Linked DNA regions of Oryzias latipes. The protein of the gene in region 2 binds, or shares a complex with, the protein of the main gene of each other region. Links are inferred from orthologs where the notes say so. Each region holds a gene or a part of one and is shown on either strand. Other genes may lie near its edges.

The links.
Region 1: sf3b2 (region 2) and snrpd2 share a complex: the UniProt entries of both Homo sapiens proteins name them as parts of the minor spliceosome. The link is inferred for Oryzias latipes from reciprocal best matches to the Homo sapiens genes SF3B2 and SNRPD2.

The regions. Positions count from the first base shown.
Region 1 is NC_019871.2:25,537,797-25,542,021, forward strand, and holds the start of snrpd2 (small nuclear ribonucleoprotein Sm D2), read right to left. Parts: upstream 2,855-4,225; 5' UTR 2,726-2,854; coding exon 2,724-2,725; intron 1,380-2,723; coding exon 1,200-1,379; intron 1-1,199. UniProt on the Homo sapiens protein: Plays a role in pre-mRNA splicing as a core component of the spliceosomal U1, U2, U4 and U5 small nuclear ribonucleoproteins (snRNPs), the building blocks of the spliceosome.
Region 2 is NC_019876.2:19,504,028-19,508,200, forward strand, and holds the start of sf3b2 (splicing factor 3B subunit 2), read right to left. Parts: upstream 2,862-4,173; 5' UTR 2,782-2,861; coding exon 2,658-2,781; intron 2,221-2,657; coding exon 2,174-2,220; intron 1,574-2,173; coding exon 1,343-1,573; intron 1,085-1,342; coding exon 1,049-1,084; intron 928-1,048; coding exon 855-927; intron 676-854; coding exon 575-675; intron 398-574; coding exon 289-397; intron 1-288. UniProt on the Homo sapiens protein: Component of the 17S U2 SnRNP complex of the spliceosome, a large ribonucleoprotein complex that removes introns from transcribed pre-mRNAs.

The DNA.
Region 1 (4,225 bases), on a different chromosome or scaffold from region 2:
TGGTAAAGTTAGAAAGATCTTCACAGATTCGGACTTCCTGCTGAGAAATTCCATGTTTAATATATTTTATATAGTTTTTCACATTTTAAGAGACATGATTCATAATAAAGGTGCTCAATAGTTCTAAAGATACTAAAGCTAATGTCAGCAAACTTTCTGTACTGACTAATCATGACCCTATTGTCCCCCCCGTTCCGTTTTCGTACACAGATCAATTTTGACACAAGTTTCTCACAAGGAATGTGTCAGAAGTCAGAGCGCAGTTGTTGTGCACTTGTGATGTGCGCCAGCAGATTCACATTTGAGCAGTTGTAATCCCAGATTGGAGGTTGTAACTCTAAATGGGAATTTGTCAGTTCTGATTTAGTTTGTCAGACTTTACAGCAGAAGATTTTTACACACAGATGCAGATTTTTGGTGTGCAAGTTCTCACATTGTAAATTACAAGTTCTCACACCAAATCTACAAGCTCGTCTATTTAGACACATTTTTACCTTCATACTAATAACTCACTGGCATTTGAAATCTTGGGGTGCTCAGGTGGATTTGCTCACATACGTAATCTATTCTTTTAAAAACCAAAAAGATCAGAAAATTACAATGCAAGAACTATTGAAATAAAACATCTTGCAATCTCCCTTCTTCATTGCTTAAGCTTTGTAAGAAAATTTGATTTTATTACACAAGTGACTACATATAGAAATCTTGCTGTTGACATCTAACCCTTAAAACAGGTTTAGTATTTAAGAAGTGGCTTTTTATTCAACTCATACTTGATAAAAAAACAAAACAATGCTTCAGAGAATGAAATCATTCAAACCCCACACCCACATCAGGCACAGTACCCAATGTGGAGGAGATGCTATGGACGCCTTTTTAATCTCTTACATTTGTGAGCTTATATTTAGTGTTTTACTTGTATTTGAATTCTTCTGAATGTATTTTATTCTTGATTCTATTAAAGGAATATGTCAAAGAGAGGAGGGAATAATTGAAACATTTTAGAATAAAACCACTGTAAGGCGCCATGTTATTTCAAATCCTGGAAAGAAGAAGAAAAAAAGACTGCAAAAATATGCTTTAGTGAAGCAACACTTTCTAAATCAAGATGCAAGCTCTTCGTGTTTGTTTCCTCTTCATATAAAAGTCCTAAATACACACTTAAACCTCTCTCCGCTACACCAGCAGCCCCCCAATACCTGTCGAATGCTTTGACTCTTCCAAGCAGCTTCTTGTTGTTGCGACAGTTAATGAGGACTTGGGTGTTGTTCTTGACTGACTGGGTGAGCACCGACAGAGGGCCAGTGTTGAACTCCTCCTCTTCTCTTTTCTGGAGCTCTTCAGGCGTCATCTCTGACTTAGGTTTCGTTAGAAGACTCCTGTGGATTAAACAAGTTCTGAATTAGTGATAACAGCAAACAAAATAAGCAACGATGTACTGTTTAAGCATCGACTGCTTGGGCGGCCTATTATTTGGATTTGGGCCTTTTTATTATTATTCTTTTAAATTAAAAAATAAATATAAAGACACAAACGCAACACTTTCGTATTTAATGCACACACAAGCATTAGTTACTGTTAATGCGAATCCAAGAGTTGGCTTCATCTGTGTGCCTCAACAAAATGATCATTTTCTTATAAAGTCAAGTTAGCACAAAAATGTACAATATAGGCAAGACATCTGAAAAGTGGAACCAGCTAAAAAAAGTCTCAGTTCCTGCAAAAGAGCATTTATGAGAGCTGAAGCTGTTGACTGAAAGTGCTCAGTTAATAGAGACATTTGAGAGGCAGAAGGTGCTTAAGCAGGAAAATGGACCACAACCAAATATCTAAATAAAACTAAACATGCAAAACTAGTATTAACCAGAAAACCATTGTACAGGAGACATTACATCAGACGGAATCAAAACTATTGAGGAATTATCTCACACACACAATAAATGCTTTGGTCATTGATAAATTGAATCAGTACATTTTAGTCTCGATATTTCTTTATATTTGTACAATGATCACTACAAATAGGCAGAAGTAAAACCTACTTTAAAAAAAATGGCTGCTCTGGATGATAGAGAAACAATTTACCTAAATAAAGGTCAACAAATACTAGACTTTATAAAAGGATCAAGTTTTAAAACATTAAAGCCTCCCGCCACCCTTAAATGAGCACAGAACATTTATTGTTTCCAGATACATTTGAAGTTTTCAACAATCTCTGAACAGTGTGTGCTTTGAGATCAGCAAAGAGTTTAGGCTCTTTACGCACAAAATATTTAGAACAAAACTTTGGCTTTCACACAAAATGAGTCTATAACCGACGACTTTGATCATATCATCTTGCAGAAGCTTAAACATTTCTACTTTCTAAAGAATGAATGCTGCAATCGCACAACGAGGACATTTACTCATGATGGATAGAGCAAGCTAACAGTCTCATTAGCAATTAGCTAATGAGGCTTAGTACGTCCATCAAGCTTTCGCGCGATGTACAATCACAGAATTTAGCTTTGGACGTAACTTTTTAAACAATTTAATTTGAGAATGCAGTAATTGCAATGTAATCCAATTTAACACATTTCTAAAAACCACCCACTAGGCCACACAAAGCGATCTAGCACCAACTCGAAGGAAAATGCTGCTAGCTTAATAGTGCGATCTCCATATTAGCAGCTAAACGTAAAAAGTAACATTGCCCTCAACATCGAGACACAATAGAAGATACTAACATGATTCCTGGTTTATAAAAACCGTTTAGTAAAGTTCCAAAGCCTCTTTCGTGCGTCGGTCGTGTCTACAACGTTTTAGCCGACAGTCGCGTGCACAGAATCACTTCCGGTGATATTAACGCGCTTAAATAGAATAACTTCCGGGTTACGACGCAAACCAAAAATTCGAAAAATATTCTATTCTTTTTGGCAACAATAGAAAAAAAATCAAACAACGGTCATCAGCTAAAATATTCTATTCTAATCTTGCATCCATCTCTAGTAATTTCGTTACTGAAGCCGAAGTTAAAACTGTTATGAATGCCCCAGCATTCATGCAGCAATTTAACAAACGACATTATAGAACATGTTTAAATAAATACACGAAAAAGATTAATTAAATACAATTTGATACATTTAAATTCAGCATTGCTTTTATCCAGTTATTTTGCATTTGCAGGATATCAAAGTCCAGGTTGACAGTATCAAGAAATAATATAAAATAAAAGAGACGTTGCTTAGTCTGTGACCTTTGCCTGGTAAACAACAACAACATTATTAACAACAACAACAATTAAAATATTGGAAATAACAACAACAACAATAATAGTAATAATATTAATAACAACAAAAACAATAATAATAATAATAACCTTTCCTTTTTTTCATATGTGCCACGTTCCAAATCACAGATTGCCTTATCTATTATTGTAGGTGCTAAACAAATGATGCAGCATTGTTCATTTGTATTTTTAGCAGTATTTTTAAACTCATTTATTTGAAAAATATAATTCAATATCAAGAAACTATAAACATGGCCTTTTGTAACTGCATTTTGCAAATCAAACAATACAAAAAAACTTTAATAGTAAAAGTTTTAGGCTCCAGGTTTATTGCTGTCATGTCTTGCATACATGGGCAGCCGTGGTAGGGTGGTCACCCTCTGATCGTTAGATTGCAGGTTCGATACCCGCCCTACCGTTGAAGTGTCCTTGGGAAAGACGCTGAACTGAACACCACCTTGCTTCTGGTGGAAGGTTGGTGCCAGTGTTCAGCAACCAGGAAACCAGTATGTGAATCTGTGTATGAATAGGTGACTGATTTTGGCCTTCAAGGAAGGTAGAAAGCGCAGTACAATTATACGCCATTTACCATTTATAATACAATTATAAAAAGTTATAAGATGCATTATAGTGTCATTTAGAAACTCTCACAACTGAGTTCTATGAGATCTACAGCAGGTGTATTTATCTAATGTTAGTCTAATATAAGTTTTGTTTTGAAGAGATGTCTTAAAGAGTCTGAGCCGTTGACAAAAATGTTGTAGCACTTCTTTCAGATGGTAAAATCCACAATTCCTTTTTGGCCAACATCCAAAGGAGATCTTGTGACTTATGAAATAAGGAAACCAATTCCAAACACAAACAATCCCTTTGGGCTTTTTTTCAAGTTTGTTGAGTAAACCGTTAAAACTACAAATAGTTGTAGGACCACAACTCAAGTTTTTTAGTAGACTTTTTCTA
Region 2 (4,173 bases):
AACGTGCTTCCTAGTTGCTGACAAGCTTCAACCATCTTGATTAAAGTTTTAACTATGCTTTTTTGTTTTGGTTTTATAATCAGTAATAAAAAAAATCACACTTAAGGCAGATCAGGTTCTGTTGAAAAAAATAAAGCAAAAAAAAAAAAAAAATCAGACTTTAAATTAAATAACCAAAAAACACATATCCATGCTATACCCTAAAATAAAAATGTTTTAGGGGCCATACCTTACGACAGTAACAGTGAATGTAAAGAATCTGGAGATATTTTATTTTGTAAGTCTAACCTGCTGGATCGACAAGCTGCTCCTGCCTGATCTCCTTCAGCTGAAGGATCTTCTCCAGAGCCTGTGGGATCTTGGGCCCGCCAACACTAATCTCTTCATTCTGCCAGATCTGCAGGAAGAAAGGAATTGCAGTTTAACACTAAACCAGCAGGTTGTCGCATTTTAATCAAAAAAGTTCAAAGAGTTTAAAAAAACTTCAAAAGAATCTAACTTTGCTTAAATCACACCAGAATTAGTGTTAACCTATGTCTAAAACAAAAATTAGAGAAGTGCAGGAAAAACGTACGTCTCTGTTATCTTCTCCTGGAGGGGGTGGCACCTTTTGTTTATGAGATGGCAACAAGGTGACACCAGGAGGTAAAGGCCCGTGAGGATCCAAAACTGAAACTTTGGTTTTGTGAAAAAAACAAATTTGTGATTGATAATGTAAAAATATACTATTAAATGCTGGTTTAACGTCAGCTTGCAACACTGTAGGAAGCAGAGACGTCTTCCCTTGACAAACATTTTGTGACATTGATCTTGAATGGAATCACTTGTAAAAGGTTTTAGGATATTCCACAAACCTCTTACTGCAGAGACAGCTGGCTGCATCTTTGCCATTTCATGATGTCGTTCTTGTTCCAGCAGCACGGCAGCCTAAGGAAGAAATGAATGAGAGATGCAAGCAATATAAAATCACAATAAGAAACAAAGAAAATAAATGTCTTCCTTATTTTAATTGACAGCTGAACAAAATGTGTTGTTTGCAATTCCTTACCCGTTGCTGCTGCTCCAGAAGTTCATTTTCGTCCCCCTGTTTTAGCCAAACAAAAAAAGGCCAATGTTTAGCAAATGTGACTGTTTAGGTGTTTTCTGTTAAAGGTCTCTAGTAAAAAATGTTGGCTTTACCCAAATACATTGAAAAATTGTATCTATGATCGTTGTTTTTACCTAATTTACTTTGTAAAACTTACAATGTTTAAATACAGTCCAGTAATTTTGTTTTGCCGAGTACTACAATATTAGCGATTAATGTGTCAAATGCAGCAGTTGGCCAGTTCTGCCATCCCACCTGATGCTTGGCCCTTTCTTCCTGTTGTAACACAATGGCAGCTCTCTGCTGAACCATTTTAAGCTGATCGTCCTGTGTGAGACCAGGAGGTGGCATGTTTGGATGATCCATTGTCATGTGCATGCCAGAGGGAGGAGCTCCAGGGGGTATCATGTTCATTGCTGGGATCATTCCCATCCCTGGGGGCATAGGTGGCATGGGCATCGGGGGCATGGGAGGAATGCTCGGCACCTGAAAAAAAGAAATGAAAATATTGTGAAAAGAGCAATAGATAGGAGGCTGACTGATATGAAATTAATCTTTTTTATTTTTATTTTGGGCCATTTATTTTTGCTTTTCCACCTGACACATTAAAAATTAGCTAAACATCACATGTCTACAGTCTGATTTATAAATTCAGAAGTTGAACAATGCAGATAAGTTAAAAACAGTCAAAACTAAGTCCACTCAATAGCCTTCATTAGCCAACCAATTATTCTTTGTTAGGCTACTAATGAAATGATTTCCCTTAGTTGTTTGTTGCCATATTAACTTGAGATTTTTGCAATTGAACTATTATCCCTATACAGCATACTAAAACATTTTACAAAATTAAACATACATAAATCCAGATAGACATCGTAAAATTTAAAAAACGTTCCACACCGTTTTAATGGCTCAATGTGAAGGGCTACAAGAGAGATTACCCAAACTATTGGTATAAAACCCTCAAAAACATTTTATTATTATCCATTTGAATAATAGTTTTTAAAATCAACAAGAAAAAAAATGAATTAAGAATGGGAAGTTGCATTTGTGTGGGTGTGATGTTGATTTCGAGGATGAGCTTACCTGCATCATGTAGCCCTTCAGTCTGTCAATGAGTTCCTCTCTAGAGCCTAAATTAAGAGAAGCACGACCATTGTATTTTATTTTAATAATAATTCATCGGTTTGGAGTTATTTATTAACGTAATCAGAGTACCATATGACGTAAAATACCAATTATTGATCACATTATTAGCAAATCCTAAGCAGTTCACAACAATGGAACTGTCGATCATCATCATCAGCAAAAACTTAGCTAGTTTTTGTAAGAAATCATCAAAAGCAATCAATTGTTACGTTTGGTATTCCAACTGTAAAATATTAGACAAAAACGGCTTTTAAAATATGCATATGAAAATACTAAACGGAGTCAAACCATTCTGCGGGCCTGTTGTTGGAGCGCTTTATGACGGAGGTTCAACGACTATGTGCTCCAAGCTAATGCTAGCCGTAAGCTAGCTTCAAAACAACGCGCTTTGATTTTTGCACTATATGGGAGCTTTTCTTACCCATTGTTGGAGCTCCTAGCTCCACCAGCTTCCCCTGAAGCTCTGGGACGCTCCATGTGTTTAATGCTGCGATTACACTACCTAAATCATTCGGGTCCGTGCCCGGCGGTCCGTCAGAAGCCATGTTGAGCAGTCGATCAACGGCGGTGGAAAAAAGAGATAAACTCGCGAGAGACAGAAACGAGAACAAGAAAAAAAAGCAAGGCATTATGGGAGAAACGCAATGGTCTTAGGGATATGAAGTTGTAAATTTTCCTTTAATTTTCCTACGGACGTCTCTGGGTGTCAGTGTTGGCCCGTTAACTGGTTGAAATATGATTTTTGAAAACGTTTTTTTTGTAAACAAATTGATATATTTGTGTAAATAATGTAAAAACGTTGTCCCATTGCTGCTACTACTACTGCTACTACAATGAATGACAACAACAACTACTAATATACTACTACTAAAGACATTGAAGTATATTCGCATTTTCTTTGTACTAGAACAAAATCAAATCCATGACAGGGCAGGGCTCAAATACGTGATGCTGTATAATTTGTTAAATTGATTTTGGGTTGTTAAGAATTGAAATTAACAGAAGTTACAAGTATAAAGGTAAATATGTGCCACAACTTTTTGTAATGTGAGCTAGTTTTCTGTATATATAGCAGGGGTGTCCAACTCATTTTCACCGAGGGCCACATCAGCATAGTGGTTCTCCTCAAAGGTAACTAAATATAATGAAAAATAAACGTAATTATTCCTTAATGTTAAATAACTCATTTATTTATTATAACTTGTTAAAGTGACACAGTTGCACAGAAAACATGTTTGCTTGTTACTCTAGCATAAATCCTTTTAAATTTTATTCTGTCAGGTTAGGTTATATTGACAGTGTTTAAGTCCTAATGTACAGTTGCCCAATCCGATATTTCTACTCCAATTCCCCTTAGATATGAATACACACCAAGTATTGTATTTGGCTCGCGGGCCTTAAGTTTGACAAGTGATATAGAGGTTGTGTGATTGCAGATGAGAGACAGGTGAGTAATAAACGGAAGCAGCTTGGGAACATTCTGGTTTGAGGACAAGGGCTGATGGGAATTGTACTATTGAAACCAAGAAGTGGTCAGTGTTTAGGTGATTGTTCCCACTAATGGGAGATTATTATAGTCCATTATTCCAGTCCAATGCATCGCTGTAAACCCTAATGAGTTGACTGAACTTAAAAATTATTGTGTAACAGATTACGCAATAGTTTTTAAGTTATATTATTAAAACTTTTAAGTTAACATTAATTAAAATTTATATTGTCAGTTGGCTTAAATTTGTATTATTTCATATTAAAAATATTAAGATTCCTCAACTTATAAAAGAGAGATTATTTACTCAAAGTTTTTAATATTTTCCAACTAAAAAAAACACTTCAACTAACTATATTTTTTATAATATTACTCAACTCATAAAATATGTAAAATTCACTCAAATGTTTTATAAATTTTTTAACTCATTTAATGTGTAGCATTGAAAATA